2 linked regions of the Xenopus tropicalis genome follow. The protein of the gene in region 1 purifies or fractionates together with the protein of each later gene. This does not show direct contact. Links are inferred from orthologs where the notes say so. Each region holds a gene or a part of one and is shown in the gene's direction. Other genes may lie near its edges. The genes, in order: rnd3 and plekhg5.

The links.
Region 2: the proteins of rnd3 (region 1) and plekhg5 purify together in Homo sapiens (affinity purification with western blotting; 3 studies listed by BioGRID and IntAct, with this or other methods). This does not show direct contact. The link is inferred for Xenopus tropicalis from reciprocal best matches to the Homo sapiens genes RND3 and PLEKHG5.

What each region holds. Positions count from the first base shown.
Region 1 is NC_030685.2:76,554,024-76,558,298, forward strand, and holds the start of rnd3 (rho-related GTP-binding protein RhoE), read left to right. Parts: upstream 1-1,305; 5' UTR 1,306-1,413; coding exon 1,414-1,563; intron 1,564-2,823; coding exon 2,824-2,911; intron 2,912-4,275. UniProt on the Homo sapiens protein: Binds GTP but lacks intrinsic GTPase activity and is resistant to Rho-specific GTPase-activating proteins.
Region 2 is NC_030683.2:99,439,374-99,443,647, reverse strand, and holds the start of plekhg5 (pleckstrin homology domain-containing family G member 5), read left to right. Parts: upstream 1-1,415; 5' UTR 1,416-1,573; coding exon 1,574-1,577; intron 1,578-4,274. UniProt on the Homo sapiens protein: Functions as a guanine exchange factor (GEF) for RAB26 and thus regulates autophagy of synaptic vesicles in axon terminal of motoneurons. Involved in the control of neuronal cell differentiation.

The sequences.
Region 1 (4,275 bases):
CTATAGGCACCATCTCTCCCTACTATAGCTGCTATCCCACAGCCCCAGTCCCTTCCCAGAGGCTATTATCCCCCCACTGCTACTATAGGCACCATCTCTCCCTACTATACCTGCTATCCCCCAGCCACAGTCCCTTCCCAGAGGCTATTATCCCACTGCTACTATAGGCACCATCTCTCCCTACTATACCTGCTATCCCACAGCCACAGTCCCTTCCCAGAGGCTATTATCCCACTGCTACTATAGGCACCATCTCTCCCTACTATACCTGCTATCCCACAGCCCCAGTCCCTTCCCAGAGGCTATTATCCCCCCACTGCTACTATAGGCACCATCTCTCCCTACTATACCTGCTATCCCACAGCCCCAGTCCCTTCCCAGAGGCTATTATCCCCCCACTGCTACTATAGGCACCATCTCTCCCTACTATAGCTGCTATCCCACAGCCCCAGTCCCTTCCCAGAGGCTATTATCCCCCCACTGCTACTATAGGCACCATCTCTCCCTACTATACCTGCTATCCCCCAGCCCCAGTCCCTTCCCAGAGACTATTATTATTATTATTACTATAGGCACCATCTCTCCATTGTACCATTGAAAACATTGCAGTACATTACAGATGTGAGTGCTGGAGGGCAGCAGGTAGGCATCCCAGGCTACAGTGAATGAAGCTAAGGGATGCGCTAAAGCCAATACACACATTAGCGCCCCCTGCTGCTGAGTTACAATGGGCAGGGCTGGGTGTAGCTGTTACCCTTCAGCCACAGTATTTTGTACATTTTAGGTTAGAAAGAGGCAACACAGTAAGTAAAAAAAAAAAGAGAAGACCAATTGCAAATTGTTTCAGAACAGCAAAAGAGATGTTTATAGCATTTATAACGGGAATATGCCCTTCAGTCTCAGTTTTACTACAACTCACAGCATCCTTGGTTCTGATATATGTAGTGCAGCAACACATTTATGGTCACTGGCCGCGATTCCTTAAATTTACCCACTTTCCTATGAGGCCCAACGAAAAAAAACCCAAATCAGTATTTTAGGAAAACAAAGCCATCTGCCTGAGCTGCCCCCCTTGCTTTGTCATTGCCAAACTGCGGCACTTCCGGCACAGTCCCCTAGATGGCGCACTCTCCGCACAGCCCAATAGTTTGATTCCCCTCCGTCCTCTCGCCGCATGTTCCATACAAGGAGAAAGGGTGGGCGTGGCGGAGTCTCCGGTTACAGAAGAATAGGGACAGGGGGCGGGGCCCGCTATAAAACCTGTCAGTAGTAGAGTAACAAAGCTCAGTCATCTCCGCCGTTGGATGTAGGAGGGTTCCCCGCTGCCGCTGGTGGATCAAGCTGCTCCGGGGGGGTCTCGCCGCAGCCCCGACTCTCTGCTCATCAGGAAGGAAAGTTTCCCCATAAACATCAATGAAGGAAAGAAGAACGAGTCAGAAACTGGCCAGCAAATCAATGATGGATCCCAACCAGAATGTGAAATGTAAAATTGTGGTGGTGGGGGACAGCCAGTGTGGCAAAACTGCCCTGCTCCATGTCTTTGCCAAGGACTCCTTCCCTGAGGTAGGTCCCTCAGGGGCCCACATAGGATTTGCATGGAGGGGGAATCTTCATTCCATTTCATATTGGGGCAGTGTAACTTTCCCCTTACCCAGCACACTTGCCCTTTAAGGCTATGGGCAACTGCAACTCTCAGTATCATGTGGCCCTCCAGCTTTTGTATTGGGCTATTCAGCAAGGATGTCCGGCCTGTGGCCCTCCAGCTGTTCATGTTTAAGTGGCTGCAGATAAGAAATATATCTTTTTTTTTCCTTTTCAGCCTCCCTGGGACCTCCATATTAGTAACTGGGTTGGAATAACAGCTGGAGGGCCATAGGCTGATCCTTTTTGTACAGTTATCTTCTTTTTTTTTTTTACCAGCCATGGAAACAGCCTACAAAAACTGGCCTACTAAGTATAGCAGCTGTTGAGCGCCATTTGCTGGTTGAAGATGGTATTGCAACGTCTCAGCCTTTGGATTGATCCTGGCTTGTTTAAGGGACCCTGTTCGTCTGTAACCTACCCCCCCCCCCCCCCAACACACAACTGCCCCTCGCTTTGATGGCCCTCCTGTGGATTTACTGTAGGGTGGGCAGTCATTAAAAGGGTCATAAATGAACCCCCTAAAACCATCTGCTGGCGTATTCTTCTGGGCTCTATTAATTCTGTATGTGCCTGTTGTGCAGAGGGAGAGTGCAAGCTCTGTGGGACAGGGAATCCCTTTCTGTTGTGTTGCATGTGAAAAGCAAATCAGTTTGAATCTGGATTAAGTCGCAGTATTTGTGGGGGGGGGGGGGGGCTGATTTTAATGCAATGTGTTCTGATTTACTGTTCTACCCCTGTATCTGGGGTTCTAGACCGCTGTTTGGGTTAATGTTGCCATGAAATCCTGTTGTACATCAGTATATTCCGCTGTCTCCCATCAGCCTACACCTCTAGACAAGTTTGGGAAATCCCAGTATTCCAGGAATCTGCTACATTGTATCTGTAGCTAAACTACAACTCTCACCGTCCCTACCCAGGCCTTTGGTTGTACAGTAAGGGGCAACTGGAGCTCCTCGGCCCTCTCTCCTAAACTAGCAGTGATTCTGCGTCCCACACACAGGTTTCATACAATAGCCAGTAGGATGGATAAAGACCCCACAATACTGGTGCCCACCCACCTGTCAATCAATCTACCCCCCATCCCAAGCAGGAAGGACAAAGCCCTGGGAATAGTGTGTGTGTTGCTGCCCCTGGAATGATCTGGGCTAATCAAATGCATTTTCCTTTCTTCCCCTTCAGAATTACGTCCCCACCGTATTTGAGAATTACACGGCCAGTTTTGAAATCGACACGCAGAGGATAGAGCTGAGTCTCTGGGATACGTCTGGTAAGTTTAAGCTGCGATATCCCTTTAAATAAACATTCTGCTGCAGGGTGCCTGGGAGTTGCCTGGGAGTGATGGACTGGCACTTGCATCTGTTTCATTTATGTTTTTGTTGGATACATTGTAACTATTCCCTTGTGTGTAAAGTCCTAATGGCAAGTCTCTGTCATCAGTGTGGCCTGGGTCATGTGGTCCTGCCTGAGTCTGTGTAATTGGCGTTTGTGCCAGTCTGTTATGTTGGGTCGGCGTTAATCTGCAGTTACATAGTAATCGGAATGAATTCATAATTTATAGTGGAATAACAGTTATGCTAGGGTTATGCCCGGCTAGAGAGTTAGGCGCCGGCTATGGAGTTAGGGGCCAGCTAGGGTTAGGCACTGGCTAGGGTGTTAGGATCCAGCTAGGGTAAGGCGCTGGCTAAGGGGTTAGGCACCGGCTAGGGGGTTAGGGGCCAGCTAGGGTTAGGCGCTGGCTAAGGGGTTAGGCATCTGCTTGGGGGTTAGGGGCCAGCTAGGGTTAGGCACTGGCTAGGGGGTTAGGGGCCAGCTAGGGTTAGGCACTGGGTAATGGGTTAGGCACCGGCTAGGGGGTTAGGGGCCAGCTAGGTTTAGGCACCGGCTAGGGTGTTAGGGGCCAGCTAGGGTTAGGCGCTGGCAAGGGGTTAGGCGCTGGGCAGTCTCAGACAGTAAGTTCTAGCATTTGTAGTTCTATTTAATCAATGTTCTGTGGCCAGAACTCTTCTAGGTGGAGAGGGGAGTCCTTTTACAAAATCACAGCGATTGAACTACATCTCTACATCTTCATCCCTGTATCCCCTAAGTGTCATTGGCTAAGCACAGTATCCTGCAGCTGCAACCTCTTACTCCCTCTTGCCTTATTTTACACAATATCCCGTTCTTTCCCCTGCCTTATGTTCCACACTTTCCAACAGTTCTAGCTTTTTCCCAGAAAGGGGAACGGTGCAGTCTCTTCACTCCACCCCCCCCCCCCCCCACCCCCCCCCCCCCCCCACGGCCTGGAGCACAAGGCCATTGCCGCGTTGGAATCTAGAAATGGGGAATAATTACTGTGTTTGATGTGAATGAGCCTCCTAGGGAATGAGAAGCCTCCGCTCGCGGTGCCATATGCTGGTGTGTGAGTAATGGATGAGGATGGAGGCGCTGGGCTGGCTAATAATCGCGCTTAGTGTGGAACATTCACATATGATACATTCATTATTCATGCAGAGCGACGGGTACGTGCCATCCCATGCCCCAAGGTCACATTGAGCCTATAACTGCTACGTAATGAGGCCTTGGCACCTTCTAGGCAACAGCTTCCTGCAGTGACAATCAACATAAACATTCCATACGCTCTGCCCACAGCAT
Region 2 (4,274 bases), on another chromosome or scaffold:
TATACCAGTTGCGAGACTCAGCTTTTGCTCCTTTTGCTCCTACTTGCATGCTATGTCTACCACTAGGAAGCATTTTTTAGCAATGCAAACAATATGATCTATACAATGCTGAAACCTTCTGCAGCCTTCAGGTAATGTGCTTTTTTAGACTGGGAAGTTTAGGGTAGAACCAATTTTTTAAACCCGGACCGGACTCGGACCCCCAACCCGCATTTTTACCTGACCCACAACCTGAACTGATCTGCCCTGCCAGGTTTTTTCTTGGTGGCCCACTGGCCCAATCCGACCATGATAAGCTCCACATAACGACCTGCAGACCCACCAATCCACATCTATACCCACATCTAAAAATCCTACCCACAACCTCTACCTGACTCTAGGTGCAGCAGGCTTAATATAATAATCATATAATCATTAACAAGCAATATAAAATGTCTTTATTGGAAGCCTTTTTATTTTCTGCAAATTCAATTCATGTTGTTTTTATTTTTAGTAGTAAATTTTACGAATCTATCCATATTAAGCAATATGTCATGACAGTCTTTCTAATATCTTTGGGTGGTTATGAGTTTGACTAAGTGGATTTTGTGGAAGTGCATACAAAAGAATTAGAGGGAATGTTGCACAGAAATGAATTCTTGCTCCTGGGTACTGGCACTTCTAATGGCAGCTGAAGGGGTGATGCAAGGACAAGACTGACAATCATGTCTGGTGGGTTACTCTGCATCTCCTACACCTATTGTTGAAGGACTATTCCCAGTATCCCTAGTAGTGGACCTGCAGATAGTAGCAGTTCTGCAATAGCACACAGTGGACCATGGGGCAATGGGGACTTGTTTTGGACATGTCAGATGGAAATGGATTGCATGCAGTTAGTAAAGATATGCATTAACAGTATGATTTAGCTGTAATATGATTTGGGTATATATCTAAACAAATGTACAAGTCTATAATATATATCTGTTTTTCTAGGTTAGCATAAATAACTTTTTCACAATGCTGCCATACTACATGAGTTATCTCTGATTCCAGGGGTTTATATAAACAGGATAGCATACATTAGCAATCCCAAGCATACAGCAATCTCAATGACTTATACGCTGCATGATGTCGTATTTCTATCCCTTGTACCCACTGGGTTGCCTCTTGTATAACAAAATTCAATTTATTGCTATTTAAACGGCACTACTTGTTGCGTTTGCTTTTCGTTAAGGGTTATAAACTGTTTTGTTCTATGATTTCTGGTTTGAAAAATGGGTTCTTTTTTTTACAATCACAACTGAAAAATCTGGACACCCACAGTCAGTTGATTAAAAACCCATTCTCTATATACTATTGCTGTACTGACTGTGTGGCAAAGGACGGGCACAAGATCTTGGTTTCTTAGCTCCATTTTAGTCAGACACAGAGAGGGATAAACACATTTCGTCAGGAGCTGATCAGTCTTTAGGCTGGAAATCATCTGAGACATTATTTCCTCTCTGCCGGTGTGTTATTCACAGCTTGTCTGGGATTTCACATTCAGACAGAAGAACAGCACAAGGGCTGCTTATACACAAGATCCTCTAAATCAATGGGTGAGTTGAGAAATATTTGGAAGAATCTGCTTAAAAATAGAAAAATGGTATCTTTGTGGCTCTAGCAATGTTTGTTATGGGGGGGGGGGGGGTCTATGCTATAATTCTCCTTATCAAAATCTTTGTATTTAGTAGAAAGGAATCTGTTACATTTAATCAAGACTGGCAGCAGTGCATGTCAGACAGCAGGATCTTATTGCTTTATATGATGGGCTCATTTTAATTTTCCGGTTGCTTAGAAAAGGGGAAAACATCAACTATAACACTGATAGCAATTTATTTTATGTCAGAATATATGCAAATAATGTGGCACATAGATTCTTTTTTATGTCTTAAAATGATAACTTCTCCATCATATATATTGTATATATGTATATCTTTATTTATAAAGCGCTACTTATGTACGCAGCGCTGTACAGTAGAATGCATTAATACAAACAGGGGGTTATTAAGATAATCATAGATTAATACAAAGTATAACAATAAATACAAATAAATACAAGATACAGTTGCAATAAGTTAGGAGTCAAAGACACAAGAGGATGGAGGTCCCTGCCACGGAAACCAGTCCATTTTAGGCAAATAATTCTAATTATTTATAATGATTTCCTTTCTTTCTCTATAATAATAAAACAGTGCCTAAGCTGAATGCATATTGACAAAGCAAGTCAATTGGGTTTAATGTTTAAATGTTTTTTTTAGCAGACTTAAGGTATGTGTTCTGAAAAGATCCTTTATCCAGAAAACCCTAGGTCCCAAACACCTATACAATCCACATTCTGTATTTTTAATTTCCAGACGGTGTTGTGTATGCTGCATTCCAGGTCGGCAACCATTTAAATTATCTTTTATTGTCTTTTATTTAAATTGTACCAACATTTTACAAAACTTGGTAAAGTCATACACAAAGCAACCAATCAGATATTTTTTAAAGAAAACAAACACATATTAATCATTTGACTTACATTCAAAACCCAGAAGTTCAAGCTCAAAATATAAATTATATAAATATAGGAATTTGTATGTTCTCCATGAGTCTCCTCTGGGCAGGGGCGGGCCAAGCTGACCGGGTGCCCTAGGCAACTTGGTCGGCCACCCCACCCCTGCACCTTTTCCGGGGTGTTTGCATGTTCGATGCTGACAAGTGGGGGGGGGTTGGAGTCATTGCCCCCGCCGCAGTGGGGCAATGACAAGGATGCGGGAGGGCTAGGGGGTAGACAAGGGAGGTACCTGCCTGGCACCCCCCATCATTGCGCCCTAGGCAGGTGCCTCTTCTCTTCCTCTAGTTTCCTCCCACACTCCAGAAACATACAGGTTAATTGGCTCTTGATAAAATTGGCCCTTCTGTGTGTGAATGTGATAGGGACACTAGCCTGTAAGCTCCACTAACTGATGTAAATAATGTTCAATCTCTGTAAAGTGCTGTGGAAATATATCAGCACTATATAAATACAAGGAAATTAATGTATTTACATATCGTTGGGGACCAAAATAAGAAATGAGAAAGAAACAAATCATAATAGGCTAATTTATTCATTCAGTTCCCTTGTTATAGCTCAACCAATGCAGAGTTTTGATATGCTGTATGAAAAATGTCTTGGACTTTCAGGACCTCCAAAGACCAATGGCCTACTTTTTAGTGTGTGCAATGGATGTTTCATCTAATTTAGACATATATATCATATTCGTTATACAACATATGGATTACATTAAATGTTCCTTGCTGTTGTAGATATGTCCAAAATGTATATTTTCAGCTGGTACATTGTTTTTTTAAAGTGGCAAGTTGTAGCTGTGTTACTACAGCCGGGATTTGATCAAGATTTGGCCTTTGTCAGCAGAATTCGGATTCTGCCAAATCCATGTGCCTGGCCAAACCAAATCTGAACCCTAAAAATGACGTGACTTTTTGTCACATAAAGAAGTTGAAAATTTTTCGCAATTCCCTTTACCCCTCCGTGGCTACATTTGCATATGCAAATTAGGACTTGGATTTGGTTCGGTATTTGGCCAAATCTTTCACAAAGGATTCAGGATTCATCCCAAAATAGTGGATTCAGTGCATCCCTACTAAATAGTGACTGTCCATGGCACCTTACAGCAGCCCCTCATTTGCCAGAATCCACAGATTGCTAGCCCAAGCCTGAACTGAACCCACAAGGAGTGAAGTGATAAATTGACCCCAGTTAACCAGCTTCAGTTAACCAGCTTCCCTACAAATACCTGTAATGCAAACCCTCAAAATAAATAATGGCACAGATTACATTTTTTCTTTAGTTTTCCAAATGAATTTTAACAACAGTGCCACCTGCTATGAAAATGAAGTTAGAAGAGTAGTGTGTCATGAATCATGATAATTCTCTGGTCAGATCCAAGCAAAGCAACACCACATTTCCTTTCTCAGATGCACTTTTTTGACTGTAGACAGTCAGCTGTAATGAACAGCAGGTGGCACTGGTGTGCAGTTACCAATAGTAACCAATCAGCAGGTAGCAAACACTGTTCAAAAGCATGCATCTTATTGGTTGCTTAGGTTACTGCACAGCAAGCCTGTTTGTTACATATGGGGATAAAACTTTGGGGGAATATGAGAAATGCTAAATTTATCAAATGGGCTAATCAGTTTGATTATGGTTCCAGCAAAGATCAAATGACAAATGAAATCCAGCAGGAAACCTGTGTCTCAGTGGCAGGATT